Schizosaccharomyces pombe: one gene and its partners. The gene in region 2 interacts genetically with the main gene of each other region. Each region holds a gene or a part of one and is shown on either strand. Other genes may lie near its edges.

What was found. Genes that interact genetically often act in the same process or in processes that back each other up.
Region 1: mutations in blt1 (region 2) and bgs1 impair growth when combined (synthetic growth defect), as found in Schizosaccharomyces pombe (one study listed by BioGRID).
Region 3: mutations in blt1 (region 2) and mid1 impair growth when combined (synthetic growth defect), as found in Schizosaccharomyces pombe (2 studies listed by BioGRID, with this or other methods).

Annotation. Positions count from the first base shown.
Region 1 is NC_003423.3:2,350,923-2,360,173, reverse strand, and holds the start of bgs1 (primary septum and spore wall linear 1,3-beta-glucan synthase catalytic subunit Bgs1), read left to right. Parts: upstream 1-2,809; 5' UTR 2,810-3,930; coding exon 3,931-9,120; 3' UTR 9,121-9,251. Other genes in the region: DNA-binding transcription factor, MADS-box Mbx1, read right to left, coding at 1-173, 246-329, 481-627, 695-745. UniProt on the Schizosaccharomyces pombe protein: Alternate catalytic subunit of the 1,3-beta-glucan synthase (GS) complex. Synthesizes 1,3-beta-glucan, a major structural component of the fungal cell wall. Required for the assembly of the division septum and maintenance of cell polarity.
Region 2 is NC_003423.3:1,982,466-1,990,532, forward strand, and holds blt1 (ubiquitin domain-like protein Blt1), read left to right. Parts: upstream 1-2,000; 5' UTR 2,001-2,050; coding exon 2,051-2,097; exon of another isoform or gene 2,098-2,150; coding exon 2,151-4,206; 3' UTR 4,207-4,578; coding exon of another isoform or gene 4,579-4,635; 3' UTR 4,636-4,636; coding exon of another isoform or gene 4,637-4,652; 3' UTR 4,653-4,653; coding exon of another isoform or gene 4,654-5,210; 3' UTR 5,211-5,271; coding exon of another isoform or gene 5,272-5,550; 3' UTR 5,551-5,615; coding exon of another isoform or gene 5,616-5,888; 3' UTR 5,889-6,087; downstream 6,088-8,067. Other genes in the region: SPOM_SPBC1A4.04 (uncharacterized protein), read left to right, coding at 808-1,557; U3 snoRNP-associated protein Sof1, read right to left, coding at 6,521-7,569, 7,626-7,887.
Region 3 is NC_003421.2:1,146,374-1,153,341, reverse strand, and holds mid1 (anillin-related medial ring protein Mid1), read left to right. Parts: upstream 1-2,906; 5' UTR 2,907-3,126; coding exon 3,127-5,889; 3' UTR 5,890-6,026; downstream 6,027-6,968. Other genes in the region: SPOM_SPCC4B3.13 (MatE family transporter), read left to right, coding at 1-1,099; protein Cwf20, read left to right, coding at 1,628-2,500; TIP41 type 2a phosphatase regulator Tip41, read left to right, coding at 6,201-6,959. UniProt on the Schizosaccharomyces pombe protein: Scaffold protein that anchors the contractile ring (CR) at the cell equator during cytokinesis.

The sequences.
Region 1 (9,251 bases), 370 kb from region 2:
TACGTGGTAGAGGATTTGATCGTGAAAGATTGAAAGTCATTTTCACTGTCGGTAGCAGAAGAGCAATTATTAGAAGGTTGAGCACTGTATGTGGTAACAGAAGCAATCCGCTTATCTTTAGGTCTCCAATTATGAAGGGATTCATCAGATGGTATATTAGGATTTATGTTTCTCTTTCTCCCCAAGGGATTATGTTAGTAAACAGAATACAGGACAAGCATAATGATTGCTGATAAGTGACTTACCAGAGGGTCAACCGTGACAAAGTCCTTGTTCAGGAATTTTTGCAGCAAGGCATCTCTTTGCTCTTCCGGTTCCTCAGAAGAATACTAAAGAGGTGTATGTTAATATTAAAAACTTGTAAAAACATTGCCACGTTTTCTGGTTGTTGACCTTCATCACCTTCCCTATAATGTATTCACTTTACATTGAAAGGATATGACAGAAAAGGATCAGAAAAACGGGAAATATGAAACATACAACGTGACAAGCATTTTTAGAATCAAAAATCATGACCACCACTTTAGCATCACACAAAACGGAGAGTTCATGTGCTTTTTTTATCAAGCCAAGTCGTCGACGATTAAAAGTAAGAGCCTTATTTTTTGCATCGGAAATACGCTGTATCTAAATGGTACGTTAGCGAGGAGAAAAGGGGTGTATGAATGGAACCAAACCACTATGTAGCACATACAGAACGGCGAGGAGATGAAGGAGCAGTACTAGGAGGAGGATTAATATCCATAGTTAGAGTCCAAATATTTAGGTAATAATATAAATAAGAAGTAGAAAAAGAGCGACAATTAAGAACCAAAATAGTAAAAAAACAACAAAAAAAGGATTAAAAATTAAACCAATTGACTAAATCAACCGAGGAAATTCAGTGAAGTCTAGAAATAAAAATTAGGAGAAAAGGGAGAAGGAAAAAAGGGCGCAAAGAAAGTGAGAGTTTCGACTATTCTTATATTCTTGTTTCGTGATTATTGACAGTGTAATAAAAATCAAAATTAAGGGAAGGCAAAGACGCATGCAAGGAAGTGCAAAACTTAAAGGTTGAAATACAAAATATGATTATCCGCTAGATTCACTTGAATGTATCAGCTTGACTTGAAATGCAGCAAAACAGTAATGGGTACCAAAATGGGATATAATCTAAAGGGATAAGAATACAAGGAAAATGTCGTTAACGTTTTGGGTAGACGAATGAAAAAACCTTTTAATGTAGAAAAAAGAGATAACTTTGGAAGAATTTTAAAAAAGCAGGCAAATATTAGGATATCATTCAATCGGCTCCTATGACTTGAAGTCTAACCCAATACTAAATGTGCAAAAAAAAATAAGGAAGCCGATCACCAAAATAAATGGAAACCAAATAAAAAAAAGCCAAGGATGAAATTCAAAATATTCAATTTGAGACTTTCAAAATGTAAACAAAGCGACAATAACGGCAATGTAAAGTTTGCGGAGACAAAAAATTTCACCTTTGAATATAAATAGAAACACTGAATAGGCAGTACGGAAAAAAATTTTTCTTAAATCAACCCCAGACTTGAACCAAAATATAAAAAATGTGAAATTTGGATGAAAAAGAAGCGTATACAGCGTATCAGGAACGTATAGTTTGTAGGAAAAAACGCTGGATTTATCCTTTTCAAAATCTCGTGGTAAATGTACTGAGCCTTTCTATAAAGCCCACCCAAGCCCTGTAAGGTACCGGACGAAAAAAGTCTCGCTACAGGGGGTTAAGATGATAAGAAAGGCTAGGGTGCTAGATTATTTATCTAATAAGGTAGTGTAAAGAAGTAAAACAAACTAGAGAAGTAGAAAATATAGGAATTAATGAAATGGAGAAAATGAAAAGAGCAGAAGGTGCGACAATAGAAATAGTTGTAGTCAAATGATTGTAAGAAGTTGTTTAAGTGTGACAACTAAATAGTCATCAAAGATTTAAAAGAATATCGCTGTAATAGTCGATTGATAGATAAAAATATTTACAGGATGTGTTTGTTTTTGGGGTATTCGTAAGGGAAATTGCCCAATCCAAGTCTTAACCAGAATATGGAATGGAAACCTTTTCCAATGCCGGCACATTGTTTCTTCCTTTGGATTAACCAATTGCTTTTAAATTCGTACTCGGTTGTCTTTTCATCTTCTTTAGATCCTAACCAGATTTGTTAGCATTCAAATCCGTACTTTTCCCACGCATTCAATACCCAGACATTGTGCGTCTATGATTTTCCCAATTTTCGGGATTTGCGAAAAAAGCCCAATGCCTAGTTCTCTTCATAAGCTCTATACTGTAATAATCATACCTTTGCTAATTGGGATTCGGTACCTTCTAGCTTTGTATTATTTTTACTATTGTTTACCACCCATGTAGACAATCACATATTAGAAATTAGTTTAACAATTCCAAAAAAAAAGAACACTCGTCGCTTATGTTCACTGTAACTGAATTATGGTTTCAGCTACACTTTCTTGACTTTTTGTAGTTTGTTTACTTCTTTTCCAATTCAAATATAGCGTCCTTAGTTTGGTTAAAAGTATCCATCTAAAACGGTAGCTGGGTATAACGATTGATAAGATGCTACACAGTAGCTGCTTATAAATTCTTTCTTTGTTTGACCGGCTATGGCTTTGCTTTGTATGGGGATGGTTTTTTAAGCCTCCTTGTGCCTCGTTGGTGAGTAACCTGAGCCTCCTACCACGCCAGCCTCTAAATTGCTTACACTAAAATAGGCCTCAATAATGTGCACTACCCTTCCCCATTTCGCTGTTAGTTTTGAAAGAACCGGAATGAGTACAACTTGCAGACAACAAACTAGGAACTGGTGGGTTTTGGCTATTTTCACCGTTCTCTTAGTGGAATTACTCTAAAATTTTTGAAAATATATTGATTAATTAGAGTAAATTATCCTTTTTAACGTCAAATTTTTGATTCTGTTGCACGGAATTAATTTTTTCTTCCTTCTTATATATCTATCATTGGTTCCTTCTTTTCTTTTTCCTCTCTTTTTTCCTATTAGCCTCCATACAAAAAGGTTGACTCCATCTTAACATTTGCCAAGTTTTCTTGTGTGATATTATCTTTACGTTAGTTGCTCCATCACTGCTAAGTTTTCGGTGTGTGCAAGATCACCTTTTGTCGTAGCATTGTGTTTGTGTGGACGTTTGGCGTTTGTCCCGGGTTCCTCTTACCCTTTCGCTTCTCTTTTCCTTCCATTTTCCCATCTCCATTTACTTTTTTTTCGCTTTGAGAGATTGTAAATAAGCTTCTGCATACGACAATTTAATTGTTCAATCTAAAGTTTATGTGGAAAGCGATTTTATATTTTCTCCTTTTCTTTTAAAAAAACGTCCTTCCTTGAATCGCTTTTTTAAAAATTTGGTCAGTTTCCTAGGTGTGCATTTGTAAGTACTTCTTTTGGTGCTTGCTGTTTTATGGTATTATTATTGTTGTTTTTATAATTATTTCTTCTTTTTTTTCGCCTCTTTTTTTATAATTTGCATACTGTATTTTTAGGTTCCGTTCATTCCCTTTTGAACCTCCGATATCTTAACTACTCTTTCACTTCGTGATCCCACCCTTTTTCCTACTTTTAGAGCTTTTTCCGCCGTCTTCTCTCATCCGGCATACATATATCACCCTTTTTTCTTCTTTTTAGGATTTGAAAAAGTCTTTTACTTTTTTCATTTCAATCAGCACAAATTTTTTTCTCTTCTACTCTTTTGCCCCCATTTTCCAAGGCTTAACTTCTTTCTTTTTAATCTTTTTTTCAAGGTCTCTTAAATTTATTTCTTTCTTTTGAACATCGTTCCTCATTTGCTAGCATTCTTTCTCACAAATTCCAACTTTTCTTTCTTTCAATTCTTCTTAATTTAAGCATTAAAATTTGTCCTCTCTCCTTCTTTTGAGTCTATTTATTCATCATGGATCAGTATTGGCGTGAACAAGAGGGTCGTGGACTCTTTGAAGATGATGCCAATAGTTATGTCTCTGACGATGATACTATGAGCTCTCTGACCCGTATGATTTACGATAAAAACTCTTCTCGTGATGCATTACATTCTGATTATGATAGCTCTTCATTTAATGTCGATTCCAGTTCAGTTGCTTATCCGGCTTGGAATCAAGCTGGTGAAGAGGCTCCTGTTACTATGGAAGGTGTTCAAGAGATCTTGTTGGACCTTACAAATAAACTTGGTTTTCAAAAAGATAACATGCGTAACATTTTTGATTATGTTATGGTTCTTTTAGATTCTCGGGCATCTCGTATGTCTCCTTCCTCGGCACTGCTTACTATCCATGCCGATGTCATTGGTGGTGAACATGCAAATTTTTCAAAGTGGTACTTTGCTTCTCATTTTAATGACGGTCATGCCATTGGATTTCACGATATGTCTTCCCCAATTGTCGAAACAATGACTTTGAAAGAAGCTGAACAGGCATGGAGAGATCAAATGGCAGCATTTTCACCCCATCGCATGATGGTGCAGGTGTGCCTTTATTTTCTTTGCTGGGGTGAAGCTAACAATGTTCGTTTTGTTCCCGAGTGTCTTTGTTTTATATTTGAATGTGCTTATGATTATTATATCTCTTCGGAAGCTAAAGATGTCGATGCTGCTTTGCCCAAGGAATTTTATTTAGACTCGGTTATCACCCCTATTTATCGATTTATTCATGCACAGCTGTTTGAAATTTTGGACGGCAAATACGTCAGACGAGAAAGAGATCATTCTCAAATCATTGGCTATGATGATATTAATCAATTGTTTTGGTCCTACAAGGGCCTTCAGGAAATCATGTGTGCTGATAAAACTCCGTTGTTAGATTTACCACCGTTTATGCGATATCGACATCTTTCCGATGTTGAATGGAAATCATGTTTTTATAAGTCCTATTACGAGTATCGTTCTTGGTTCCATAACGTTACCAATTTCTCACGTATTTGGGTAATGCATATATCTGCTTACTGGTATTATTCGGCTTATAATTCCCCAAATTTGTACACCAAAAATTATCACATCCGCTTGAATAATAAACCTCCTGCTTCTTGTCGTTGGACAGCTTGTGGTTTAGCTGGTGCTATAGCTTCTTTTATCACCTTGGCAGCTGTGGTTTTCGAATATATACATGTTCCTCGTCGTTATCATTCTGCCAGAAGGTTGTGGCCGAGTATGCTGTTATTGATAAGTACGCTACTTCTAAACATCGCACCTGTTGTTTTCATATTTGCTTCGTCTACGAAAGAGCAGCATTATGCTTCTCGATTGGTTGTAGGAATTGTGCATTTCTTTTTCTCGTTGGTCTGTGTAGTTTACTATTCGATTACGCCGTTACGAAATTTGGTTGGTTTCACCACAAAAAGGTCTGGAAAAAACCTTGCTAACAGATTTTTCACCGCCAATTTCACTCCGACCTCAAAAACAGGTGCTTTCGTTTCTTGGTGTCTTTGGATTACAGTTTTGGTGGCCAAATTCTTGGAATCTTATTTCTTTTTAACTTTGAATTTGGCAGATTCTATCAGATTTTTGGGTGCTATGCGACCTTATGACTGCCGTGATTACATTTTAGGAGCTGGACTATGCAAGGCTCAGCCTAAAATTCTCTTGAGTTTACTGTATTTAACTGATCTTTCTCTGTTTTTCCTTGATACTTATCTATGGTACATTCTTATCAGCACTATCTATTCTTTGGCTTATGCTTTTTGCCTGGGTATCAGTGTGTGGACTCCTTGGAGAGAATTGTTTTACCGCGTTCCCAGAAGAATATATACAAAACTGTTGTATACCGATGACATGGAGATTGTCTTCAAGCCAAAAGTACTTATTTCTCAAGTTTGGAATGCCATTATTATCTCGATGTACAGGGAGCATTTGATTTCCCGTACCCAAATTCAGGAGTTGTTGTACCATCAAGTACCTTCTGAAAAGGCAGGCTATCATACTCTTAGAGCTCCCAACTTTTTCTACTCCCAACAGGTTAAGCATTATAAGCAAGATTTGTTTCCGGCTAATTCAGAAGCTGCTCGAAGAATCTCCTTTTTCGCACAATCCTTGGCTGAATCAATACCCAAGACTAGTTCCATTGATGCCATGCCTACCTTCACTGTTTTGGTTCCTCACTATTCTGAGAAAATTTTGTTATCTTTAAGAGAGATTATTCGCGAGGAAGATCAACTTTCTCGCGTAACTCTATTAGAGTACTTGAAGCAGCTATATCCTGTGGAGTGGAGAAATTTTGTTGATGATACAAAATTACTTGCTGATGAAAATGATTCTGTTATTGGCAGTATCGACAATGAAAAAAATGGAGTAAATAAAGCATATGACCTTCCTTTCTATTGTGTTGGATTTAAATCTGCGACTCCGGAGTATACTTTGAGAACAAGAATTTGGGCCTCTCTGAGAACTCAAACTTTGTATCGCACTATCAACGGTTTCAGTAACTATAGTCGTGCCATCAAACTGTTATACAGAACGGAAACACCAGAATTGGTCGAATGGACAAATGGTGACCCTGTGCGATTAGATGAAGAATTGGATTTAATGGCAAACAGGAAGTTCCGATTCTGTGTCTCCATGCAGCGGTATGCTAAGTTTACCAAAGAAGAAGCCGAAAATGCAGAATTTTTATTAAGAGCGTATCCAGACTTGCAAATTGCATATATGGATGAAGATCCTCAATCTCGACATAATGACGAGCGCCATCTTTATTCTGTACTGATTGACGGTCATTGCCCCATTATGGAAAATGGAAAGCGTCGACCCAAATATCGTATTCGTCTATCTGGTAACCCAATTTTGGGTGACGGTAAATCTGATAATCAAAATATGTCTATTCCTTACATTAGAGGTGAATATGTACAAATGATCGATGCCAACCAGGATAATTATTTGGAAGAATGTCTAAAGATTCGTAGCATTCTTGCTGAATTTGAGCAACTTACTCCTCCCTTACATAGCCCTTACTCGGTAAATGCCAAAGCTGCTGACAATCATCCCGTAGCTATTCTCGGTGCTAGAGAATACATTTTTTCAGAAAATACAGGTATGCTTGGAGATGTAGCTGCTGGAAAGGAACAAACATTTGGTACTCTTTTCGCTCGTATTTTATCGTTGATTGGTGGAAAATTGCATTACGGACATCCTGATTTTATTAATGTTTTGTTTATGATTACTCGTGGCGGCGTTTCAAAAGCACAAAAAGGTCTGCATGTTAATGAAGATATTTATGCAGGTATGATTGCTCTTCAACGTGGAGGACGTATTAAGCATTGTGATTACTATCAATGTGGTAAGGGTCGTGACTTGGGTTTTGGCTCAATTCTTAACTTTACTACGAAAATTGGAACGGGTATGGCGGAACAAATGCTTTCAAGAGAATATTTCAACCTTGGCACACAATTACCGTTTGATAGGTTTTTGTCATTTTTCTATGCCCACGCTGGATTTCACGTCAATAACATGGTCATCATGTTTTCTTTACAGTTATTGATGCTTGTTATTATTAATTTGGGAGCAATGTACACTGTTGTTCCGGTTTGTAGATACCGCCAATTTGACTCCTTGACAGCTTCTTTGTACCCTGAAGGTTGTTATCAATTAAAACCAGTTCTCGAGTGGTTGAAGCGTTGTATTTTGTCTATTTTCATTGTCTTTGGTATTGCTTTTGTTCCACTTGCTGTTTGTGAATTAGGGGAACGCGGTGCCATCCGAATGGTTATTCGTTTAGCGAAACAAATATTCTCTCTATCTCCTATTTTTGAAATTTTCACATGCCAAATATATGCGCAGAGTTTAATTGCAAATCTTACGTTTGGTGGTGCACGCTATATTGGTACTAGCAGAGGTTTTGCTACTGTTCGTGTGCCGTTCTCACTATTGTATTCTCGATTCTCTGGACCATCACTTTATTTTGGGTCACGACTTATGTACATGTTATTGTTTGGTTCAATTACTGCTTGGTTGCCGCATTATATTTACTTTTGGATTACGCTGACTGCTCTTTGCATTAGTCCATTCCTTTACAATCCCCATCAATTCGCCTGGACCGATTTCTTTGTTGATTATCGTGAGTTTATGCGCTGGCTATTCCGCGAAAATTCACGCAATCAAGCAAATTCATGGATTGGCAACTGTCAACTTTGCCGTACCAGAGTAACTGGGTATAAACGTAAAATATATGGTAAGAAGGCAGATAAAATTGCTATGGATTCCCCGCGTGCGAGAATTACTACAATGTTTTATGGTGAAATATTAGGGCCTCTAGGAACACTATTTTTCACGTGTATTCCATTTCTCTTTATCAATTCCCAACCTGGTAACGATGATGAGACCCAATCTACTAATGCTTTTATTCGCTTGATTATTATGTCAGTTGCTCCTTTGGTTTTAAGTGCAATTATTGCTTTTTTCTTTTTCTGTTTAGGAATCATGTTACGTCCTATTCTCGGCGATAGATCTAAAACGTATGGTGTATATTTGGCTGGAGTGGCCCATTTCCTTTTTGTGTGTGTTGATGTTGTTGTCTTTGAAGTATTGGGCTATTTGGAAGGTTGGTCATTTTCAAAAACTTTACTTGGATTTGTAGCAATCATTTCAATTCACAGGTTTGCTCATAAATTTTTTATCATATGTTTCCTGTCTCGAGAATTTCGTCATGATGGTGCCAATTTAGCTTGGTGGTCTGGACGTTGGAATGGCCAAGGTTTTGGATATATGGTTTTAACGCAACCATGGAGAGAATTTGTGTGTAAAACTACAGAGTTGAATATGTTTGCTGGTGATTTCCTTTTAAGTCATCTTTTGTTGTTTTTGCAAGCGCCTGTTATTTTGATTCCTTATATCGACAAACTTCACTCGATCATATTATTCTGGCTTGTGCCCAGCAGACAAATTCGACCCCCAATTTATACCATAAGACAAAACAAACTTCGTCGTCAAATAGTTCTTCGCTATGCCACTTTGTACTTTTCATTGTTTATTGCCTTTTTTGTTCTTTTAATTTTGCCTTTTGTGTTTGGTAAATCAGCTGCTGGAACTTCAATGGATAAATTTAATCTGATTCAGCCAGCGACAAAGATTGTTTATTCTTCAACAAAGAATTCTTCTGTCTAAAGCATTTTATTTTTTTTTAAAGGATTTGTGTGATGTGGATGCTTATTTCTCATTAGAAATGCTCTCAATTAGGGTAAATAATAATTATTATATTTGCATTTTGTTAAATAAAAAATGACTTGAGTGTTGAT
Region 2 (8,067 bases):
TATTCCGCTCGATCAGAGCAGATCAAAAGGTTGATTCTTCAGTGTCCCACATTATAAGGCTATTTCTCGCTTACCAAGGAACACATCAGACCTCCTGAACTTATCCTCCACCAACGTCCTCTTCATTTTAAAATTCATTTTATTGAAAAAAAATCATATTTCTAGCTATCTTGCACCTCTATTTGGCCTTTGCTTATCCCCGGATCCACGTTGGATATTTGCTCGCCTATCGAATAGTATATTAAAAAAAGTTCGCTTGAGAAAAAAATTATTTGTCAAAGTCGAAAGTGGAAAGACGTTTTTAAAAGAAGTATTTTGTGGCAAAGAAGTCAATATCTAAGAAGAAAAAAAGTTTCGGTTGATCTGTAACTAAAATCAGCGTCAAAATAGCATCACCAATACGTCCGAGTGAGAAGCATCAAGGTTCCTCAAAATCAAGAAAAACTTTACCAATATTACTTCTATTGTTTTATCTAGCATTAAAAATAATTTCATTTAAATACAATCCTAGAGCGGGATTGTTGAAAAGAAACCCAACCTAATCTTAGTTTATTTGAATTTGCTCAGCTAATTTTGAATGTGACTATATTGAACACTCAAATTGGCTAATTCTTCGTTTAACAAACATCGAAAACTATTTATTTCTTCCCATCTTTTTGTTTATTAAAAAAAAAAGAAAGGAGAACAATAACAGAATTCAATTCATAGTTGTCGGCGGATATTGTTTTTCTATCCTTTTCTAATCCTTTTGTGTGTACTATTTGTTTTATGTTATAATTTATTAAAAAATCAGAAAGTGTTTTCGATATGGAGTCTTGTACAAGGTCTTCACTACAGCAGCTTGTCGCAGCTGACTCAAAATCTTCTAACTTTTGTTTCCGGAATTTATCCCAATCATCGAATAATAATGTATCATATGCGTCTTCAAGCAATCGCAATTTTGTTCCCCAAAATGTTCTCAATAATGAGTACCAATCTTTCCAGCATTCTTCAACATCTCAACCTTCCGTACTTCGACAAGGAAAAAATGCTTTTTTAAAGCCAAGCCAACTGTCTTTCAATATGAATTCGTCCGAAATTTCTAATACGCATTGGGCACGCGATTTTAATATTCTAACTTCTAACTTTGCTTCGTCCTCCGTTACTTCTGCTCCTACTCAATCCTCACATATTTCAAACTTTACTAATTCTCAAAAATATTTTGCAAACGATCTTCCCAACTCTCTAACTGACCAACCCTTAGCTCAGCCATCGGCATCTCAACGTTCTACATGGCTACCTTGTTCTGCAGCCGTTAGCACTTCAAGTCCTTCATCTGATCCCTTCTTTGATTCTTATCTTGAACAAGCTTTCGAAAAGGCTGAACGACTTGCAAACGAACAACAAAAGATTTCCAAAGTTGAGAAAACCTTTGGCACTTTGGATTCCATAGGTACTGAACAGGATGATTGCTTTGATCCTGATTACAGCAATCTCCCCCTTTTTCCTCAGGAAAATGCATCTCCCCCTTTGTTTCGAAAAGCATCTTGCAACAGTGGTTTTACCACAAAATGTTGATTAGGAGTTTCACACTAGCTTACTAATTTCCCTCCTAAAGATTGCTTCAACTGAAGTGTAGCATTGCTTCAGTCGTATTTCAATATTTGATTTTTTTATGCCTTATTTTTTTGTTTTAAAATTCTTTTCGCTAAAATTTGCTTCGAGAATCTATCAATACAAGTTCTCTCTTGCCGCACTATAAATCTCAAATTTAGCTTTCAAAATCATCTATTTATTGCAGTGTATACATTCATAATACCCTCATACCTAGCAATTTCAAAAATCCGTAACTATAGCTTAGCGATGCAAAAGCACTTCCACACCTCTTTTTGTAAAGAATAAAATTAATTTGAATTTTTAACACTTAATTTAATAATAATAAAATGTTTTGTACAACTTGGATTGCTACATATGGGAAAATTCAATCGTCCCTTCTTTCCAGTAATCAACAACCACTTAATAACTGCCAACTCCTAAAGGTCGAGCGCTTGAGGTGTCTAAGAGGCAGAGCATGAGCAAATCTGCTTTCACAAGCAAAAGTCAGCTTAAAGGAATAGAGTATGTTTACAAACTTTACGTCTTTTGTCTAGTGTACTAACGGTAATTAATAGTGGAAGTTTTAATGACCCATTTCGGCAACCGTCTATGAATTTGCCTACTCCCCCTCATGATGATGGTCTTCCATCAATACCTAGGTCTACAGCCTTGCCTAATTTGTCTAACCGATTATCTCCATATTCGCATCGTAATTACCTACCAATTCCTGAAGCGGATTCTCGTAATTTAGAGGTGCTTAATTCAATTTCGCTCACAACAGGATCAGTCGTGAATCAAATAAATAAACTTTACCAGAGGAGTTGTGATAATGCTAATTACTTACAAGACTTACGCTCTTTAATACTTCAAACTCCCACGGCTGAAGCAAATGCCACCCAAGTTACCGAATCTCTAAACCAAATCCAAAAAATTTTACAAGAGGCTTCTTCTAAAGATAGAGAACAAATTGTTCAAGTTATTAAAGAACTCAATAAAGGTAACAGTTTGGAGGTTCGTAGAGAACTTGGAAATTGTTTGGCCCATCTTAAGAAAGGAACTTTAAATATAGACAACGCATTACAAGCCTCTCTACAAAAATACTGGAAAGAATTGCAGTACTTTAATGTGTCAAAGGATAAGTTGCTATCTTTAGAGGAAAGTATAAAATTGTTAAGTGCAAGATTAGAGGAAACTGATACACCCTCCTCCACTCATTGGATAGAGATAAATGCTGGATTTAAAGAAGTTGGTGACGAATTGAGCGAGAATTTTCAAAGAAAGCAAGAAATTTTGAGTGGATTACAAAATAATGTGATTCTTCGTACTAATAATAGGAAGCCTGTAGGCAGTGATGGCTCTAATTCTAATTTTAATGGTGGAGAAGAACAGATGGACTCCAAAGATCAAGAGGAAATACAAGATTATTTGAATTCTCTTTTGTCAGTTCATGAGAAAGATGGTGTACTTCTCCAGAAATTTCATAATTCTTATGTTCAATATCAGAAACTCGCTGTTGCATTGTCGAAATATGAGAATTTCGATGCTGATAAGCTGTTTCAACAGATGAATTTAGCCAAGCAAAGCAATGAGACTCTTTTACAAACTTTGACCGAACAAACCGATCAACTGCTTTCGTTCAAGGAAACCATGGACTCATTTAAATTTATTTTAGGTCCCTCTATGGAGAACCAGGCTTTACAGCAGGGAATTCTAGCAGAGCAGCAAGATTTGGTAGCCCAGTTACGCGATATTGTGCTTCGCTCAGAGACGCTAGCTGAAAATCCCTCTAATATGCCCGGTAGTTGCCTTCCTGGAGCCTCCTCAAATACTGCTGACGAGTTTACTGAACAGCTGAATCTACTTAAGAACGAAGTAGCACGCCTCTCTGCAATCTGTCCAAGCCCTAATTCTGGAATTAATGCTTCTGTGCTTACTAATGCTGACAATTTAGAGAAAGAGAACCTCCTGTTAGTGAACAACAATGCCTTCAAAGTAGATGATCGTTCAGTGTCATCAGTTGCATTAGACGATCATAATCGGCAGTTACAAATGAACGTAGAGGAGTTAGAAGGAAAGAAGGCGGATTTAACCAGCAAAATTAATCGATTGGATAAGGACTTTGTTAAGCTAAATACAACCTACTCGTTACTCACCGATCAAGTCAAAACTAAGCAATTGGCACTCCAAGAGATTGAAAGTCGAGTTATTCGTCTGGAAGAAAGACTAAATATGTTACAGAAGCTGTCCATGCAGCCAGCTATTTCTTCGAGCAGCGAATTTGTTCCCATTGAATCCCATCCCTCATCTTCAGCTGTTGTACCGATAGAAGAACCAAAAAATAGTATTATAGAAAAGAAGCGTGTTCCACATAACGCTGCAAGAAATTCTGTTAATTTGGAGGTCACTCTTCCTAATTCTAAAAAGAGGTTTTCTTCGTTTTCTGGATCTTCCAGTAAACTACCAGTCCGTCCATCAACTGCGTTAACAGACAAAAGGAAACCATCTTGGTCAAGAAGGCTAGCTGCTGCAATCGGGTTTTCTTCAGGATCTCCAGAAAAGAAGCATGTCATAACTTCATCGGACGCGGGACATCAGCGATCTAAATCAAGAAGCTTCAGTTCTAAAATGTAATTATACGCTCTTTTATAGGTCAATCGTTTTTGTAAGATTATACCAATGCTATTATTTAATCAATGACTTTCGTTTCTGTACTATACCTCTTTCATATGTATACTACGTTGAAATAAGCACTTAATGTAAACAACTATTGAAAGCAGCTCATCACATGAAGTCCAAAAATTACTACAACCCTTTATCCCTTTAAGAGCTTTACGATCGAAAATCCGATTTGCCAATGGAGATACAAATCAGCGTTCAAATATGAGAAAGTCTAACTATACAGATAAGCTTCAACAATCCTTGTAATACTAATGTTAAGATATCTTCAGAAAATTAACCGGTAGTTAACAAATAGATGCTATGTATATTGCATTCATTAGTAAGCTAGCGACCCCATTTGCTCAGAAGCCCTTTCTTTAGCTTCGCATAGACATATACCAACGGAACGAATGACACCTGGCAGTGAAAATTCCCTTTATACTTTGTGTAAGAATACTAAAGCTTGTTAATTTTTTTATTGATTTGCTAATTAGTAGACTCCTTGTCGAAATTTGGTTCGTTAACATCAGTTCAGCGCACTTTTCAAACGATGAAGTGTCAGGTTTTAAGCCTAAAATTTTCACCAAGTTTAATGGGAGTCCATTCAAAAGACGTGATATGGAATCCTTCGTGATGTTCTGATGGAAAGAGAGGTATCGCGAATTATCACTCGGATCCATAGATTTTAAAACTTCTGATGATTCAATGAAATGAACTCCAGGTTCTGCATACAATAGTGGCAAATATAGCTTACGAAAGAAAGCTATTTGCTTAGAAACAATATTTTCAACTTTTCGAGGATTTTCGGCGAAAAAGGACATTCGAATATCGCCAAGGTAGGATAAACTTACAATCGTTTTGTAAAGATCGAACTCTGTGAATCGGTCTGCTAACATTAACAGGCCAACGTGTAAGGCACTACTTAAATTATAAGAGTTTTCTTTGTAAAATTCATCTTCCCCTTTAAGTATGACAACCTATTTGTTCAAATTCGGTTAATATCCACAATTGTAGCAGAAGTCTGTTTATTTAACTTACGGGTTTTTGAAAGCGCCCCGCTAGATACATAGTATTCCAATTTTTAAGATCTTCATAAACATCTTTTTTGCTAGTAACACCATATTTGATTATATTTCCCTCTACTTCCACATGTGTATTGTAGTATACACCGGTGCCAAAAGATTCTTGAAGTGTTGACACGAAACCAGGTCCAAAATTTTTAACAAATGAATAATGAGAAGGGTTTTGCTGCAAATTTATTTTGTGCCACTTGACTGGGTCTTCTACCTGAAATATAAAATCAATCATGGGATTCTCCTAGCAGAGACATAAGTTAGAAGTTTTAGATTAAACGAGTATAACGATTAATAATTACTATTTACCTTTTGAGAATATCCAGCTTGCCTAAAGACCCCGCTGCCATAACCTACGGCGACATCAATGGGAGCTTGAAAGTAATTAACAACCTTTGTGAGATTTTCTTTCAATTCTTCTTCAGGTTGAATTCTTTGGTTTTCAAACGTAAGTAAATTTTGCTTCAATAATTGTGCCACTGTACATTTCGCATGATGACTATAACTATGACGGTTCATCCATCGTTTTGTTGAATATCGAAGGATATTATAAGAAAGAAAGTGGGTTTTACCAAAGATCATATATATGATAAAATACGAGTTAGCAATTGCTTTTTTAGTTGTGATACTATACAGTGTTTAATTATACTGAATTTTGGTCACGATGAGGTACTATATGACAGAAGACGAAAACGCCCAGTCTACTCACTCATTGGACTCTACACATTTCATCAATAATATTTAATTGAATTATTTATTTAGCTGTTTTTTTATACCATGATAAATTAATTATTCAAAATGTGAAATTAAAACCAGAGTATATAAACTTAGAACTGACTTACATATGTTCTTACTACTTCTAAAAGAAACGACATTAAAAGAATGAATCGAAACATAAAAATTTAGGTCAATGTTCCATCTTTTTTTTTTCGTAGTTTATATTAGAAGATTCAAAGATCCAAATCTGCGTACATTTTTACAGCAACCAGTTTCAATGTTCAAAAAAGAAATTGTAGATCATCAACTGATGCATATTTATTCAAAGAAACCGACTTGTTCTGCTTTTTCTTAGTAAAATTGGTTGCTTGTTATGTTGCATTGTATACTATACACGAGAATAAATTCCACCATAATCAAAAAATTGAACTGAGAAAAAAATTTGAAAACCCAAACCATAGAAACCTTTTATAACACCATTAAATAGAAACTTAGAATTATTTTTGAATACCAACAACATGCCTTTCACGTTCTTTTTCATAGGGCACGGCACCTTTTTTACTATGACGGCGAATGTTCTCTTCACGTCTCTTTAGAGAATTAATCTCTTCACGTTTTATTTCGGCAGCCTTTTTGACATTAGTTGGAAGATGACGATGACGGGCAATACGGCGAATTTCAGGAATATGCTTATAGCGCTCTCGCAATGAGTCAAGATATTTGAGGCGATTCTCCTCACGAGTAGAGCGAATTGACGCACGGGAAGAAGCACGAGCTCTCCAAAGACGAACATTACTATCATCGGAACCAGAGAATATGTATTGTGCATCCATTGAAAATTTAACTGCAGTAACTCGCTGCATACGTTTTGTATGATAAACATCACGACTATGACCCTCCCGAACATTGTAAATTCGAATCGTTTTGTCATAAGAACCACTAACAAACTCTTGACCTGTCGGTGAAAAATCTACTGACATAACGGCAGAAACGTGATCCTTATAAACGTGTAATGCCCGCTTTAAATTTCGCATATCGTACATATACAAATTGTGATCCTCACTGCCAGCTACAAAATTAAATGCCTCCATTGGATTCCAAGAAATTGAATTAGTTCTCAATTTGGTAATCAATTTGGTTAACGGTGATGATGTACGGAGATCGTAAATTACGATTGATCGATCCATACCAGCTGAAGCCAAAACCGATGTTTCCGTATAGTTAAATTTGACTACCGGTAATGTATCAGCTCCCCATTCAAACTTTGTTACTGGAGTATCACGAGAATAGTCCCAAATAGATACATTTTCACCGCTAGTTGCAAATAAATCACCTCCTTTGCTAGTGTCAATATCCAAAAGAGAAGAGTCTCCCAAATACGATCTTTTAACTTTGCCATCTTGTTTATTAAGCATGTAAACATAGCGATCAGAAGCGCAAGATAAAACGTCTCCTTGATTAGAGAATACTAATCCCCTAACAATGCCTTCATGTGCCTTTGAAGTCCAGCGCTCACAACGTTCACTAGCATCCCATAGTTTTACAGCTAGAAAATGTGTTAGTGACATCCAAACTTTTTATATCCACTTATTTATCACATACCACCATCACCACTTCCACTGGCACAATCTATCAAAGTTTTTGTATCACGAGCTAATGAATAAACACCATCTTGATGTCCTCTACCCAATTGACCAAGAAAAGGGGCTGCGAACATCCTGTCCATCTTTGTAGCATTCAATGCACGTGTATACTCACGCGCACGTTCAAAAGGATGGAGCGATGGATCTAAATTCCTTTTAACAGGATCTTGATCATTAAGACGTGTCAACGAAGTACCACGGGTGATTGTTTTGACCTTCATCCTTTTTGGTTCGTTGCAAGTTTCAATTTCTAGTAGTAAGCTCTACACCTTGCAAAAATATTGGATAATGAGGTGTAGCGTAAACCATCGTATTTGAATAAACAAAAGGGCAAATACTTCAGCAATCCCTAAGATTTAGCTTTTTAAAACTCATTTCAATTATTTAAAAATTCTACTAAA
Region 3 (6,968 bases), on a different chromosome or scaffold from region 2:
GGGTTTACATTTACAGAGGATTCTGGCCATATTGTTGTTGATACAATTCCCTATTTTCTTGATATGGTGGAAAATAGAGGGCATACTTTTATTCCTTAGACAGGATCCTCTTACTTGTATGTTTGCGGCAAAGTATATGCGAGTAATGATGTTGGCTAGTCCGGCATACGCATTATTTGAAGCACTAAAACGTTTCCTTCAGGTGCAAGGTATATTTCATCCTGTAACATACATTTTAGCAATTGTTGTACCTATTAATATTTTTCTTAATTACCTTTTTGTGTGGAGTCCCTGGGTTGGTTTCGGTTTTCTAGGTGCACCGGTCGCTGTAGCATTAACGCTATGGAGTGCTTGTGCTGTTCTAATTATCTATATTATGAAGGTAAACGGACGACAAGCATGGGGAGGTTTTAGTAGAGAAGCATTAAAAAATTGGGGCCCGTTATGTCGATTGGCTGTTCCTGGTGTAATTATGATTTGCAGTGAGTACTGGGCTTTTGAACTCGTTACTTTCGCATCGGGCGTGTTGGGTACCACTGAATTAGCCTCTATGTCTGTTTTGTCTACTACCTCGACCCTTTCTTATAATTTGGCTTTCGGTGTCGCTGCTGCAGCTGCCACAAGAGTAGGAAATTTAATTGGTGCTGGAAATACGAAACTCGCTAAGCTAGCTACGCACGTTTCTATCAATTTAGGTGCTGCAATTGGTGTTATCATTGCTGTAATCCTTTTTTTAACTCGCAACACATGGACTTACATTTTTACGTCTGATAAAGATGTCGTCGCATTGGTTGCAACTATCATTCCCCTTGTTGCACTCATTAATATTGCCGATAATACACAATGTGTAGCTGGAGGCCTTCTTCGGGGACAAGGAAGACAAAGGATTGGTGGGGTAGTAAATTTCATCGCATATTATTTATTGGGTTTGCCTGTTGCCATAATCCTTTGCTTCAAGCTAGATTGGGGGCTGTACGGTTTATGGATTGGAATTGGAGCTGCAATTCTAATTATTGCTGGAGTAGAAACTTGGTGCTCATTGCATGTCAATTGGGACCATTTAGTTGAACTTGCTAATCGTCAGTTTGATGAGGCTTAAAAGTTGATACGGACAAGTTAATGATTATTTAAATATGTATTGTGGTTTGTCATAAATTGATATATTTGAAGAGATATGTTCGGTTTATGATACCATGGTTACGACTACTAACAGTTGATTGATAAAAGTATTCGAGTCGGTACTTTTTCCAGTCTTCAAGATTTGGCCATGTTTTGGCCTATCCTAAAAATTAAGTTTACGAAAATTGCAGTGCTTTAAACTCTCATATTTATGAAGCTTATAAAAGTAAATTAAATTAATGGTAATTTGGAATCTTTTTGGGTGATTAATATATAAAATACCACATATGCTAGCTAGCAACGTTGGGCGGTAGCATTCAATTAAATATTATTTCTTTTTAAGACTTACTTAAAGAATTAATTTAAGTTTGAATAAATATGTAAATCATCTTGCAGATGCGAGTATATTAATTGCCATAAATAATTCTGTTCGCAGTGAGAATAGTTACCGAGTACAAATCGCTCGCTCAGAATTATTAAACGACTTAATATCAAAAGTTAATAAAATATGTCTCTGGTTTCATATCCTCGATCAGAATCCGAAAGCGATATTGAAGAAGAAACACCATTAGCTTCTAAAAGTTTCGATCCTACTTTGTTTCAGCATGCGCGCAGAAAATTGTCGGTTGACAGCACTAAAAAGTCACCTAAACGCCTGAAACGGCAAGTTGATTTACAGAAATCTTCTTTTAATGATAAAACTTTTAATGAATCTGATGTTATCTCTAATGAACGATTTAAATCTAATGATTTACTTGAACTTTTGCCTGCCCCAAAAAATCAAGCTGAATTAGCTCCAAAGTCATCTAAAAGATCGGACCTTGATTTAAATGAAAACTATTTATTACCTAATAACTCTGTAAGCGATTTAACCTCTACTGGATCCTCCGAAACTGTCAAGAAATCAACGTATTCAGAAAAGTCTGGTAACGTTTCGTTATTTAATATCGTAGGATCAGAGTCAAAGCAAGCCTCTTTAGTAGATTCCGATCAGAAACCTTACCAACCAATTTTGATAAAACCTAAAGCTAGAGCAAATCCTCCGAAATTGAGGAATCAACCCGAGAACGATTTCATTTCTATTGCTAATCACTCAGTACATTCAAATGCAGAGGACATAAACATTATCAATGAAGATTACATTGAAATTGGACGCCACCGAAAAGAGAAGGGACGAATTATAGACGTTGATATCAACAAACTTCCAAAACCGACCCAAGAAGCATTGCCAAGCGCCCCTACTATTAAAAGTGTTGCACCTGGTCGTCATCAACTGTCTTCTCTTGTTGAAATGGCTATCAGTCAAAAAGACAACTTTGAAGCTTATTTTGAGCAGCAACGATCAAACAAAAAGGCATCTTCTCAAAAGTATGGGTTTTAGCTTTAAGTAAATGTTACGCCCCGATAGTTAGTTTTAGGTTTTAACTGCTCGTGTATTTGTAAATTAAAAGCTGTTTATCAACAGATTCATTTTATGTATTTTTTTTTAGTTTCTGCGAAAATAGCAGACAACAAAATATGATTTTACTTATTTTATTTTACATACTAATGACTTTATTCATCGCTATTCATAAGCATACTGATAATACAATATTATCTTTGCAAGTATGTCCCAGCTATAATTCATATTTGCAATGCAACTAGCCTTTTTTTGTTAATTTTAAAAAGGAAACTTGGCTTTAATCTTCGATTTATGGTATATCCAGAGTTTGAATTGTTTAACCATATAATCAGTGTTCTCACTGGGACTACCACTTATCATAGCGTCTACCGATTTTGTGTGACCTATGCCTACTCCACATGACTGAGGTGAAGAAGGATTTCAATAAATTATAAGAGGTTTTCGTGCTTTTAGCATCAATTTTAATAGAATTTGAATTAATATTTGCTATAAAGAAGAAGGCTCGTCTTTTGTTGTACTTCAGGGTGCTTATATGATACTGTGTCCACATTTTAACACTCGATAAGGTATTATAGTCTGTAAAGTCTAATTAAGCTATCCTGACGATGAAAGAGCAAGAGTTCTCATATAGAGAAGCAAAAGATGTGTCTCTTGACTCTAAAGGCTTAGAAAACAGTTTTCTTTCTTCTCCAAATCGAGAAAAAACACCCCTTTTTTTTGAGGGTAACAGTAATGAAACCTCGGGATATGATCAAACAAAAAACTTTACACATGGAGATGGCGATATGTCCCTTGGAAACCTTTCGGAACTAAACGTTGCGACAGATCTTTTAGAGTCACTTGATTTAAGAAGCATGTATATGCATGGCTATGGGCACCTCGATTCATCTTTTTCTTCTCAACATAGTCCTGATAATCGTAAAAGAATGAGTAGTACATCAGTGTTTAAGAGGATTAATTCCGAGGAAGAAGGTCGCATTCCTAGTTTGACGTACTCGGCAGGAACTATGAACTCGACAAGTTCTTCTACTGCGTCTTTGAAAGGTGCTGATATTGTTGCAGATTATGAAACATTTAATCCGGATCAAAATTTAGCTGAATTATCCTTTGACCGCTCCAAATCGTCTCGCAAGAGGGCGGTAGAAGTAGCAGAATTTAGTCGAGCTAAGACAATGTCTCCGTTGGAATACACTGTTCAACATCCATATCAATCCCATAATGAACTGTCTACAAACCCAGCCCGAGCAAGAGCTGGAAGCGTTCCCAACTTGGCTCGCATACCATCTGATGTCAAGCCCGTACCTCCAGCACATCTATCTGCATCTTCTACTGTAGGTCCAAGGATTCTTCCTAGTCTTCCCAAAGATACCACAGAGGACAATCCAGCGTTGGAAAGGGTCGAAACGACGGCGTCTCTCGATATGGATTATAAACCTTTAGAACCTTTAGCTCCCATTCAGGAAGCCCCTGTTGAAGATACTTCAGAGCCTTTTTCTTCAGTCCCAGAGGCCACCTTAGACGACTCAGATATCTCTACAGAAAGTCTTCGTAAAAAGGTTTTGGCCAAGATGGAAGCAAAACGGATTTCCAGTGGATCTTCCTATGCTAGTACACTTAGGAAAGTTTATGATTTCTCTGAGCTTTCCCTTCCCACCAACGGTAAAGACTATGATGAGTTATACCTTCAATCTTCCCGTAATTCAGAACCTGAGATTTCTACTATTATCAATGATTCTTTACAACAGGAAAATATGGATGAGGATATTAGTGCCACTTCAATTCCGAAATCTCAGGCCGCCTATGGTCATGGATCTGTAACGTATCATGAAGTCCCCAGATACAATCTAACTTCTGCTTCCGTGGGATATAGTATATCTAGTCAACGTGGTCGTATAAAAAGCAGTTCTACCATTGACAATTTGAGTGCTATTTTAAGCTCTGAAGATTTACGTCACCCATCAATGCAACCCGTACCAGGAACGAAGCGTACTTATAGTAATTATTGTGAAAATGAGCCAAACAAGTCTAGCCAAAGTTTAGTCAGTTCTGAGTCCCATAACGTCGAAGGATGGAATTATTCGGAAACTGGTACAGTAGGTTTTTACGACCCTAGTGCCGAGATATCCGCCAGCATTGATGAACTTAGGCAGTCTACGCCTGTAGCCAGAGATAGCGAACTTTTAAGTCGTGCACATTCCTTTGATTTGAATCGCCTTGATCTTCCAAGTCAGGATAAGAGTACGTCTTACGAAGTCCCGAATGGTACTGAAAATCAATCACCACGTCCTGTTACTTCTCTTGGATTTGTGAATGAAACATTTTTTGAAGAGAAACCAAAGGCGCCCTTGCCACTTGGTCGCTTTTATATACATTTGAACAGCATTTTGAATATTTCGATAAGTGAAGTCCATTCACCTATCAAGATAATAGTTAATACGCCTACGCAAAATATGCAGCTTCCTTGGCAAGCTGTTAATGGGAATAATAGGTTGGACCATGATTTTGCTTTTCATGTTGACGATAACTTTAAAGTGAGTTTTATGTTTCTTGACATCCCTATTGAGGACAAGTCCAACGGTTCGAAAGGAGTATCTGCTACAAAAGACGTTTCAAACGGTAAGCCTGCTGAAACGAAATCCAAAGCTAGGAAATTTTTTGACAAGCTTTTCAACCGACGCAAAAAGAGAAAACTCAACAAGGCTGCTGCAGTTGAGAATTCAAAGGCTAAGAAGTCAGTGGTTATCAAGAAAGTCTCGGGTACTGCTACGTTAAATTTGGGTAATGTCAAAGACAGTTGTTTTGGAAAGGCTTTCAACGTAGAAATACCCATCATTTCCAGAGGCTTCTTGGAAGCGATTCCTGTAAAAATAAACTCTATAGGGAAACGTACACTTGGTAATCTAACTTTGACTTGTTTGTATATTCCTGAGCTTTCGGTTCCAGAGCAGGAATTGCCATTTACCTTAGAACAAGCTACGATGGACTTGCGACACGTTAGAAGTAACTATCTATATAATGAGGGATACTTGTATAGATTGGAAGATTCATCTATTCGAAGACGTTTTGTCGTTTTACGCTCAAAGCAGCTGAATTTTTATGCTGAAAAAGGTGGGCAATATTTGGATACTTTTCAGCTTTCTAAGACAGTAGTTTCAATCCCAATGGTAAATTTTTCAGAGGCAGTTTCAAACCTCGGTCTAGTAGCTGGAATATTGGCTACATCTGTTGATAGAAGGCATGTTCAGTTGTTTGCGGACTCTAAAAAGGTTTGCCAAAAATGGCTTCAGGTGATGAATTCACGCTCGTTTGCTCTAGATAGGGGTACTGAGAAATTATGGTTACAAGAATACGTGAATTTTATGGCTTAATATCTGAATTTATGAATACTAATCGTCTTAATGTATTTTTTGAATAATTTTTACTTATCGGATTTACTAAATGAGGGAGTTGAACTGAAATTATATAACTACTGAATTAATACTTATAGATCATTTTTCATTTTTAATCTGAATAATTAATCAACTTTTGGTTTTTTGAATATACTCTATAATGAGTAAAGTAATATAAAGGTGTTTTGTGTTGGCTAAATTTACATTACCTATATTTTGCCGTACGCACTCTAAATTGTTACAATAATATAGGGGTCAAGCAACTACTCAAATCACATTATTTAAAGGAGATGCAAAAACAAGATGATTTTTCATTTAAATATTGGACTATCAAAGTCCAACGGGGGTCAATTTTAAAAAGCCATGAGATGGAGAACCTTCAAAGTACATTGGGTTTTCCACCTCCTGAGATGACCTTTGGGAATAATTACATCTCAATTGAATACAAGAATCAGCCTGTAGTTGGATTTTTTACTGAAGATGCTCTTAAAATGGTTGGTACCAAACCTGAAGATGTAATGCAAGTTTCTTTTGCAAAAGACTGGGCCAAATCCAGAATTAAGCCCGGAGAAGAATACCCTGTGATTTACCCATTTGATTGGACTTATTATACTGATTATCAGGGAACTATACAACGTCCAAATGCAAAATTCATTGAAATTGATCAGGTAATACCTGTTCAAAAAATACTTAACGCAGGACAAAATTTATGGTTCAATGAGATAATTCTTTTCGAAGATGAGTTAGCAGATAATGGAAAATCAATGTTTGATGTGAGAGCTCGAGTTGTTCAGGGTCATTTAATATTGTTAGCACGCCTTGTCGTACGTTTAGACAAGGTAAATGTTCGATTGAATGAGACGAGGATATATATTGATTTGTTGAATGATTTTCTCTTGAAGGACTGCCGTAAAAAGCAAGCTACTTACGACAAAATTATTAAACAAATACCTGTGGGGGGAGACAAAGCTGCATTGCTAGATGATAACAATTGGTTAAGTGAGCGCCTTGATACCGTTGACCATAAAATCTATAAATTGAATTTTTGATGCTAAAAT